Mus musculus: one gene and its partner. The protein of the gene in region 1 binds, or shares a complex with, the protein of each later gene. Links are inferred from orthologs where the notes say so. Each region holds a gene or a part of one and is shown in the gene's direction. Other genes may lie near its edges.

The links.
Region 2: the proteins of Spag9 (region 1) and Arf6 are in contact, whole or in part, in a crystal structure (PDB 2W83), measured with the Homo sapiens proteins. The link is inferred for Mus musculus from reciprocal best matches to the Homo sapiens genes SPAG9 and ARF6. Residues at the interface, in NP_001124000.1 of Homo sapiens: Lys431, Asn432, Ile435, Val438, Asp439, Thr442, Cys443, Asp446, Val447, Gln449; in NP_001654.1 of Homo sapiens: Glu13, Arg15, Lys34, Phe47, Val49, Glu50, Thr51, Thr53, Lys58, Asn60, Trp62, His76, Tyr77, Thr79.

The regions. Positions count from the first base shown.
Region 1 is NC_000077.6:93,994,730-93,998,989, forward strand, and holds the start of Spag9 (C-Jun-amino-terminal kinase-interacting protein 4), read left to right. Parts: upstream 1-1,361; 5' UTR 1,362-1,541; coding exon 1,542-1,844; intron 1,845-4,260. UniProt on the Homo sapiens protein: The JNK-interacting protein (JIP) group of scaffold proteins selectively mediates JNK signaling by aggregating specific components of the MAPK cascade to form a functional JNK signaling module.
Region 2 is NC_000078.6:69,370,476-69,374,957, forward strand, and holds the start of Arf6 (ADP-ribosylation factor 6), read left to right. Parts: upstream 1-1,674; 5' UTR 1,675-1,748; intron 1,749-1,848; 5' UTR 1,849-2,318; coding exon 2,319-2,846; 3' UTR 2,847-4,482. UniProt on the Homo sapiens protein: GTP-binding protein involved in protein trafficking that regulates endocytic recycling and cytoskeleton remodeling. GTP-bound form plays an important role in the transport of multiple palmitoylated proteins form the Golgi to the plasma membrane.

The DNA.
Region 1 (4,260 bases):
AACAAAACAATAAAGTTCTTTTTAAAAATCGATAGGGCATTTTGAGCTCATACTCAACTAGCTGGGCAGCATTCCTAGAATCCAGACATATACACAAAGTAAGGGTGAGGAAGGGAGACAGGGAGAGCACAAACTAAGGGTAGTGGCGCAGGGGTTCGGGAAATTGTTTTGACAGTTTTCATCTTTGTCCTTTTGCACTGGGTCAACCTCCACAGAGCTTTTGGTGGTTTCCAGGGAGATGGAAGTGTGGGAGACTTTGGGGATGATCTGAAACTTCTAAACACCAAACAGGGTATTTAGGACTCCGGGAGGTAGCCAGTCTTCTCCCTAATAACTTGTCTATTTAAATCCTCTCTGTTCTTCCCATATATTTAGATGAGTCGGAGTCGGTGTATCTGAGTCAGCTATGGCAAAGGGAAGAGGCTTTTGCGAGTGTCTTCCGCCAAACTTGAGACTGGAAGATGAGAATACACGGAAGTAATCTCTGACTCAGCCTGCCCAAGGCTAGGGTGTTGTGGCATTCCCCACGAGTGACGCACTCCCAAGATAGGTGACTTCATGTATCATGGGACTTATTCCACCACTGACTCCACCCCATAGCCTCCTCTGCTTCTTCTCTCACTTCCCAGCCCCACCTCCCTCTCAAGATCAGAGAGGGACCGGTGGTAGTGGCTGCAGCCTAGAACTGTCTTTCTCATAGGCAGGGAGCAGAGGGACCCAGTGTTTGGCAAAATGCAAAAAGTGGTACTCATTTTCCCTTCTCCAGACGCTTCGCTCTTCTGGTTAAGGCTATCCTTACTCTTCCTTAACATCAAAGTGTACTATCGTACTCGAGGCAACCTGATCCTCTAGGCAGTCATTCTAGTTACAGCTTTTTCCCTCATCCACTGTTTTCCTTTGAGTCCAGAATTCTCAGTAGGAAGTAGAGAGAGTCTCGCCTCTGCCTCTTTCCTGTTCTAGCGGTATGACCTTGACTAACCCGCAACTTCCCTGGCCCTAGTTTCTTTGTCTGTTAAGCAGGGTCCACACGTCTGGCGCACCAAGAAGGCGCGGGATGAGCCGTAAAAAGGCGAAGAAAACGCTTGCAGCCTCCTGGGGAAAGTTGTCAGTCTTCAGAGCCCCTCCCTTTCCTCTGGGAACGCCCAGCCAACGCAGCCTCCGGCTGTCACTTCCTCCACCTCTCACCTCTCGGTCCGCGCGCGCGCGGCGCCGGGTGTTGGCGTCACAGCCGGCGCACGCCGCCGCCAGGCCCCGCCCCTCGTCCGCGCCTGGCCTCCCGCGGGGCCCCGCCCACCGGGGCGACGCGGCGCTGGCCCCGCCCCACGGGTGACGCGTAGCGCGCGCGGCCGGGCCGCCCCGGCAGTTGGTGCAGCGGCGGTTGGGGCGAGTGCGCTCACCCCACCCCTCCCCTCCTTGGCCAGGGCTCCGGCCCCCACCCCGCGGGGCCCAGCCCCAGCCCCAGCCTCCGCCGGGCCCGTCCCGTGCGGGCCCGTGCCACCCCTCAGCCGGCGACGCCCGGGGCCGCCCGCCCGCCCGCCACCATGGAGCTGGAGGACGGTGTGGTATACCAGGAGGAGCCCGGAGGCTCCGGGGCCGTGATGTCAGAGCGGGTGTCCGGCCTGGCCGGCTCCATCTACCGCGAGTTCGAGCGGCTCATCGGGCGCTACGATGAGGAGGTGGTCAAGGAGCTGATGCCACTGGTGGTGGCCGTGCTGGAGAACCTGGACTCGGTGTTCGCGCAGGACCAGGAGCACCAGGTGGAGCTGGAGCTGCTGCGGGACGACAACGAGCAGCTCATCACCCAGTACGAGCGGGAGAAGGCGCTGCGCAAGCACGCCGAGGAGGTGAGGGCCGGCGGGGGCGGGGGTCGCAGCCGGGCTGGGGACGCTGGGCGCGCCAGGCGCACCAACGCGCCAGGGTGGACTCCTGAAGGGCAGGCCCGAATCCAGGGCCCGGGACAGTGCTCCGCAGCGTCTCGGGACCCCGGGACACTGGCCGGTGCTGGAAGCCTAGGCAGGCCAGCGAGTGTCCAGGAGAGGGGTGAAGTGGGAGGAAGGCCGGGGGAGGAAGCGACACTCTGGCATCTGAGGGCACCTGGGACTGCCCGAGGGCGGAGACTTGAGGGTGTCTGGTTGCTTCTTGTTTAGGGAAGTTTCCGACCACCGTAGGATAGTCGGGTGCGGGTTCAAACTTTTAGCATGGGGAGGGGCAGTGCTGTCCTGCCCGTGTCAGTTCCGCTGGCTTCGGTACCTTTCCAGGGGGGGCTGCTGCTGCTTTGGGAAGTTAGAGATCTCCCTCTTTCGGTCAGTTTCTTCTTGACATTTAGATCCTCTTGAGAAGGAAGTCTACCTATGTACCCTTTTTTTTTTTTTCCATTTAATTTTAACACTTAGTCAACCACTTAGAAGTCGACTAGCAGAGTCCAGTAAGTACATACAGTACATTCATTTACTTTATTAATGTTCCTCACAGAGGAATGTTCCTCCTTCGTGTCAGGTGGTAACCTTGGACAGTTCCCTGACAGCCTCCTCTATTTATAAAGACTGGGGGGCGGGGTTGAGAAGGTGTGGGTGAGTGTTACAACACTTGTCCTGTCTGCGTTTGCTTTGCATCCTGCAGTTTCTAAGTGCACTTGGCTGGCTCTTTGCTCGAACACCTGAGCGGTGACCTTTGTACTCGTCACCTGAGTGTGTGAGCCTTTTTGGATCCTGGGCTGTAAATGATCCTCTAGCTTTTTGAGCGAGTTCAGGATTTTAGCCTGCAGGCTGAGCGCCCTGGCATTGTTTCTGAAGAACCTTTCTTCGGCAGTCAAAATGCTCTCCTTGTTTTTGTGCCAGACATCTACTGTACCTAGCTAAATACATGGTGATTGAAGGAGACTAATTATCGAAGGAACCACGTGTTGTTTTTCAAAACTACATGACGCGGTAGAAGAATGTGACATTTGTTTGGCAGCTCAGTTCCTAGCATTAAATAGGCAGTTTATTTTGTTATTTGTGCCTCTGCATTCAGGTAAATGATTCTTTTTTTTTTTTTTTAAAGTCATGATTATAGTGGCGCTTTGTAATTGAGATTTTGCAGTCCACCTATCTTAAAGAAAGGCATTGAATTTGCCAAACAAAATTGACTTTATTTCAAGAGTATGTTTACAAATAAACACGGAGGGAGGGTTGAAAAGAAGACAAGGCCACAGCCCCGTTAGTTTCTTGGTTTATAAAACAGATCAAGGCCTTTAAGGTGGCGTGCCACTTGGGTGCCACTTGCCACTGATACAGACTTTTGTCATGATGTGGATGCAGTTGGAAGAGAGTGGGGCCAAATATACACAGATTAGGAGCAAGTTCAATGTAACCTATTACCTCTGGTTAAAAAAAAAAAGGAAATGTTCCCTCCAGCCTTAGCCTGCGGACAGGATGAAGTGCCGAGGTTACACAGTCCAAGAAAACCAGCTGTTACAGGTTACAGAATCAGAAAATAAAACTGCTAGGCTTTGTTTTCTTTATTTTTCTTTATTTGTTCATTTATTTTGGTTTTTCAAGACAGGGTTTCAGTGTGTGGCCCTGGCTGGCTATCCTGGAGCTTGCTCTGTAGACCAGGCTGGCCTGGGACTCACAGAGATCCCCCTGTCACTGCCTACCTAATGCTGGGATCAAAGGCATGCACCACCTCTGTCCGGCTTATATTTATTTAAGTAAATGACTTTAAAAACAGTCTGTTCACTAGGTTTCTTTAACATTTATACTTCTTAGTTAAATCTGTCACATCTCCATAATGAAATGTTTGGGTAGACTCCTGACCTGAGAATTAACAGCACTGATGAGATGCTAGACGAACCCTGCCCTAACCACAAACATAAAACCCCAGCAGCAGCAGCAACAGCAGCAGCAGCAGCAGCAGCAGCAGCACTACTCATGGAAGATGCTAAGCGGTTTTGCCTATACCTAGGAGTTCAGTCTTCCAGGCCAGTGTACAGAGTGGATCCTGTTTAATTCTCTCCCTGAATGCTCAGTGCCTTTAACCCAGAGATTAAGAGCATGTGCTTATAGCAGAAGTGCTCCAGGGAGGGTATTTACAAAGTAATTTGAAAGCATGGTAATTGTTCATCTCTAGAGCATAAAGTAAATTTTGGGTATCTTTGTGGGAACTTAAGAAGGCCTGGGAATGGTGAAGGTGTTAAGGAACCTATGAGGTGCTGTAATCTCTTGCTTGCAGAAATTGCCAGAGAGGGGGCAGGAATGTAATTTCTATTATAATGGTTGT
Region 2 (4,482 bases), on another chromosome or scaffold:
TTTTTTTTGAGCTAGGACCTCACTTTGTAACCTTGACTTGGCCTGGAGCTCAATATGTACACCAGGTTGGCCTCAATCTCAGAGATATTCATCAATCTCTGTCTCTCCAGTGCGGGGGTTAAAGGCATACACCACCTTGAATGTCTTTAAATTACATTTTGCTTGGTGTCCTCCAAGTCAGGGTGGGTGACAAGTGCTTTAATCACTGAGCAGTATCAACCAGCCCCAAACTGACCTATTTTTTTTAAAGCATGGCATAGAGAGTTTAATTCTTACTATTGGCGACTAGTTTCTGACTATTGCTATTTGTTTTGTACTATAATTATTCTTTAATCATTTATTATTGGGGCTGGGAAGATGGCTTGGTGCATTAAAAAGCACTTGCTTTGTAAGCAGTAAGTTCCAGAGTTCGAATCTTCAGTCAAGTAAAAAGCCTGCTGTGGTTTCAAATACCTGTTGCTCCATTGGGTCACCCCTGTCCTGGGAGGTGGAGGCTGGAGAATAATTTCAGATAACCCTGAGCGACTGTGAGGCCAGTACTTGTTAAATAGAGTGGCACACTCTCTAGCCTAGACTGACCTAGAATTACAGCGACCCTCTCTGCCTCAGTCTCATCACTTCTGGTACAGGTGTGAGCTGTACCAGATGACTTCCTTTTTTTTTTTTTTTAATTATAAAATAAAAACAGTATATTATCATATGCTGTTGTAGCAACTTCCTTGAACTTAAGTTTTCTCCCCGTGTTTATTTTTATTAAAAATTTCACCTTACTTTAACCTTAACACTATCCGTTTAATACAAAAAGGTTTCCTGGTCCAGCAAGATGGCTTAGTAGGTAAAAGCGTCGGGCGCCAAGCTTGACTTGATACCTGGGACCCACATGAAGAAAGGGGAGAACTGACTTTGGTTGTCCTCTGACCTCTCTCCGTGCGTACGCACACTAAATGAAAAAAAGTATTTGAAAATAAGAACAAAACCCAAAGAGTTTCCTTATAGTACGTGGAGAGCAGAAGTCAATTCAAGGGAGTTGGTTCTCTCCTTCCTGGGGAACGAAGGCGGGTCCGCCCTCTCGGTGGCAGGCTTTACCCACAGTCATCTCGTCGGCCCTGATAGTCTGTTTCTTAAGAAATGCGGGCGGTTCAGACCAGACTTATAAAGAACGAGTTTAAACTTTCAAAGGCAGGGCTTAGGGGCAGACCCAACTCGAGTACAAAAAGTGCGGGCTACTTTGGCGGATTCTATGGAACACTGGCCTCCCACGTGTCTTCCAGGAAACTGAAGGAAGGCTGGGGAGAGCGGGAGGGGCTTCGCGCAGGGGGTCCGGGAGCGAGCCTGGGAAGCGTGGCTGGGGCGCCGGTCCTAAGGGCCGACGAAGCCCGCCCTCGGTGGATCCGTGCCCCGCCTTCGAGTGGCGGAGAAGGAGACCCGCGGAGACCCCGGGTAGAGCGACAGGTGGGCACACGGCCAGCCCCACGCCAGCAGGTTCCGCGAGGCGCCGGCGTTGAGCCCCGGGAGCCGCCGTAGCCCCGCCCCCCGGCGCGTGGCGCTCGTGACGTCGAGAGCGCGGGCCACTCTCCTTTCAGAGGTCGCGCTCTTCCGAACGGTCGGGCCGAGGCGCGCGTGCGCAGTTGGGAGGGGAAGTGAGGCGGTTTCCTCGGCGCCTTTTCCGGCAGCGGCGGCGGCGGCAGCAGAGCTAGGAGGAGGAGGTGGAGGCCGGAGGGAACCCGCGCTCGGGGCGGCGGCTGGAGGTAACCTCAAGGGCCGAGCCCGAAAGGCGGGCCGCGTCGGTCTGGGCGCCCCCTCGGAGGCCCGGCGGTAACTCCCTTCTCCCTCTCTGTGTCCCTGCAGGCGAGCACCCGCGAGTTCCCGCGAGGATCCATGACCTGACCGGGCGCCGAGCCGCGCTCGTCGTCGGGGTGGTGACCGGGGTCGGTGCCGAGTCCGGTGCTCGCAGGCCGGCAGGCCGGCCGCAGTTGGAGCCGGCGCGTGCCGAGGCGGCGGAGGAGCTGTCGGCGGCGCTTGCTCGCTCGCTCGTTCGCGCGGCGCCTGCGGGGGGGAAGGGCAGTTCCGGGCCGGCCGCGCCTCGCCTCGCCTCGCTTGAGCAGGGCGGCGGCTCTCCCGGCGCAGACGCAGGGCCCCGGCGGCGGGCGATGCCCGAGTGAGCGCAGGCCGGGCCCCTGCTCCCCTAGCCGGCAGCTTCGCGCAGGCCGCAGGGCGTCCTCGCAGCGGGGCGGCGACGTTTCGGGCTCGCGGCGGCGTTGTAGGCTTGAGGGGACCCGGGACACCTGAATGCCCCCGGCCCCGGCTCTTCCGACGCGATGGGGAAGGTGCTATCCAAGATCTTCGGGAACAAGGAAATGCGGATCCTCATGCTGGGCCTGGACGCAGCCGGCAAGACAACGATCCTGTACAAGTTGAAGCTGGGCCAATCGGTGACCACCATCCCCACGGTGGGCTTCAACGTGGAGACGGTGACTTACAAAAACGTCAAGTTCAACGTGTGGGATGTGGGCGGCCAGGACAAGATCCGGCCGCTCTGGCGGCATTACTACACCGGGACCCAGGGTCTGATCTTCGTGGTAGACTGCGCCGACCGCGACCGCATCGACGAGGCCCGCCAGGAGCTGCACCGCATTATCAATGACCGGGAGATGAGGGACGCCATCATCCTCATCTTCGCCAACAAGCAGGACCTGCCCGATGCCATGAAACCCCATGAGATCCAGGAGAAACTGGGCCTGACCCGGATTCGGGACAGGAACTGGTATGTGCAGCCCTCCTGTGCCACCTCCGGGGACGGACTCTATGAGGGGCTCACATGGTTAACCTCTAACTACAAATCCTAATGAGCGTCCTCCACCCAGCCCCCGGAAGGAGAGAAATCCAAAACCCATTCCTAGGATTATCGCCACCTCCATCACCTCTTTGAATTGCCACTCTCTTTTTGAATCTGAACTCTGGAGTTACTGTTCTACAGTTTAGTGGGGTTGGGGGTTTTCTTTGTTTCCTTTTTTTTTTTTTTTTCCCTCTTGGCTTTGCGTTAGGATGCTCTGATCTGACATTTGACACGAATACAGTGCTAGATGCCTTGTGACTTCCAGCAAACGGGGTGGGGTAATAGCAACTCTTGGTAAAGTCCTTTATAATAATGGTTTGATTTTTTTATTTCGAGAGAATCTTCCCCCCCATGTATGCTTTTTTTCCTTTTTGCCCAGGTTCTTATCACTTGCTGTAGATGGCTTATTTTGCATTCATGCAGACTATGTTCCAAGTCTGTTTCATCTAGTAAACTGAAAATTATTGCTTAATCAAACTGCCGTTTGTCTTTTATATTTAAGGCCTCCCCCCCCTTCCTCCTTAGCGCTAACTTTAGCAGTTTCAAATGTGACCTTTTATAGCCAAGACCAGTATGGTGAACTAAGCCCACAGTGGCAAGATAATGAGTAATAGCAGTGTAATGTTCCAGTTGCACATGAGTGTGTCAGACAGGTAATGTCAGGAGCCCCTGGCAGTGTCAGCCATTAACGTGCATGAGGAGGAGTACAGCTCGAGCTCCCTTCACCCTAGCTAACTGCCGCCTAGAACAAGCAGCGCAGCCTGTAAAGCCTACAGGTCTCTTCCACTGCAAAGTTAGCAACTTCGCTGTTTCCCTCTTCTTACCTTTAAAAATACTCTTTCCAGAAAATGGAGCAATAATGGTGTATGCCTCACACAGATGAAATATTTGTAGATATTTTAAAGTGACTTTTGGACAAAACTGGAATGTTACCTTGTTTCAAATGTCTTAAGACCAGTAGTTTTAAAATTACTAAACATTTGCTCACTAATAAAACATTTAAAAAGTCAAATTATATGCCCCTTTAACGTAGCTGGAAAGAAAATACACATTCCTGTTTTCACGTTACAGCAGCTGACTAGACCGAAGATAATGACATTTTTTAAATAGATGAGTGATCTACATCTCCATTAAGACACTGGAAAAGATGTTTTATTTTAAAAAGGTATTTAGTTTTGCTTGATTGTAGGGTTTACTCCTGCAGATATCCTGTTGGTTCGGTAGTATATCTATCTCCTGTAAGGAAGGAAATGTGCTGAATGAATGGCTTAGATGTGGATGACAAAGGGGAAGTAGGCTGGACGGGAAGAACCTACAGATGACAATGAATGTAAATTAACTTTAAGGGTAAGCATTGTGCTGGTTGTATCCGGATCTTAAGATGATCTGGCTAGGACCTGTAACTAGATGGAGACCACTATAGTAACTTTTTGAACCAAATGTTAATGTCATTCCGAATTGTGAAGCAGCTTCTGGTTTCTCTGTAGCCTTAAGGATTAATTTAGCGATCCTCAAGGAATTAAACTTAGGGAATTTGGGAAATGTAGACTGCACAGGCAGTGTACTGGAAAAGGTGGAATTTTTTTTTTTTTTTAATGAGGGTGTCTGAAAATTAAAATCAAGCCGGATATCATGGTAAAGTTGGA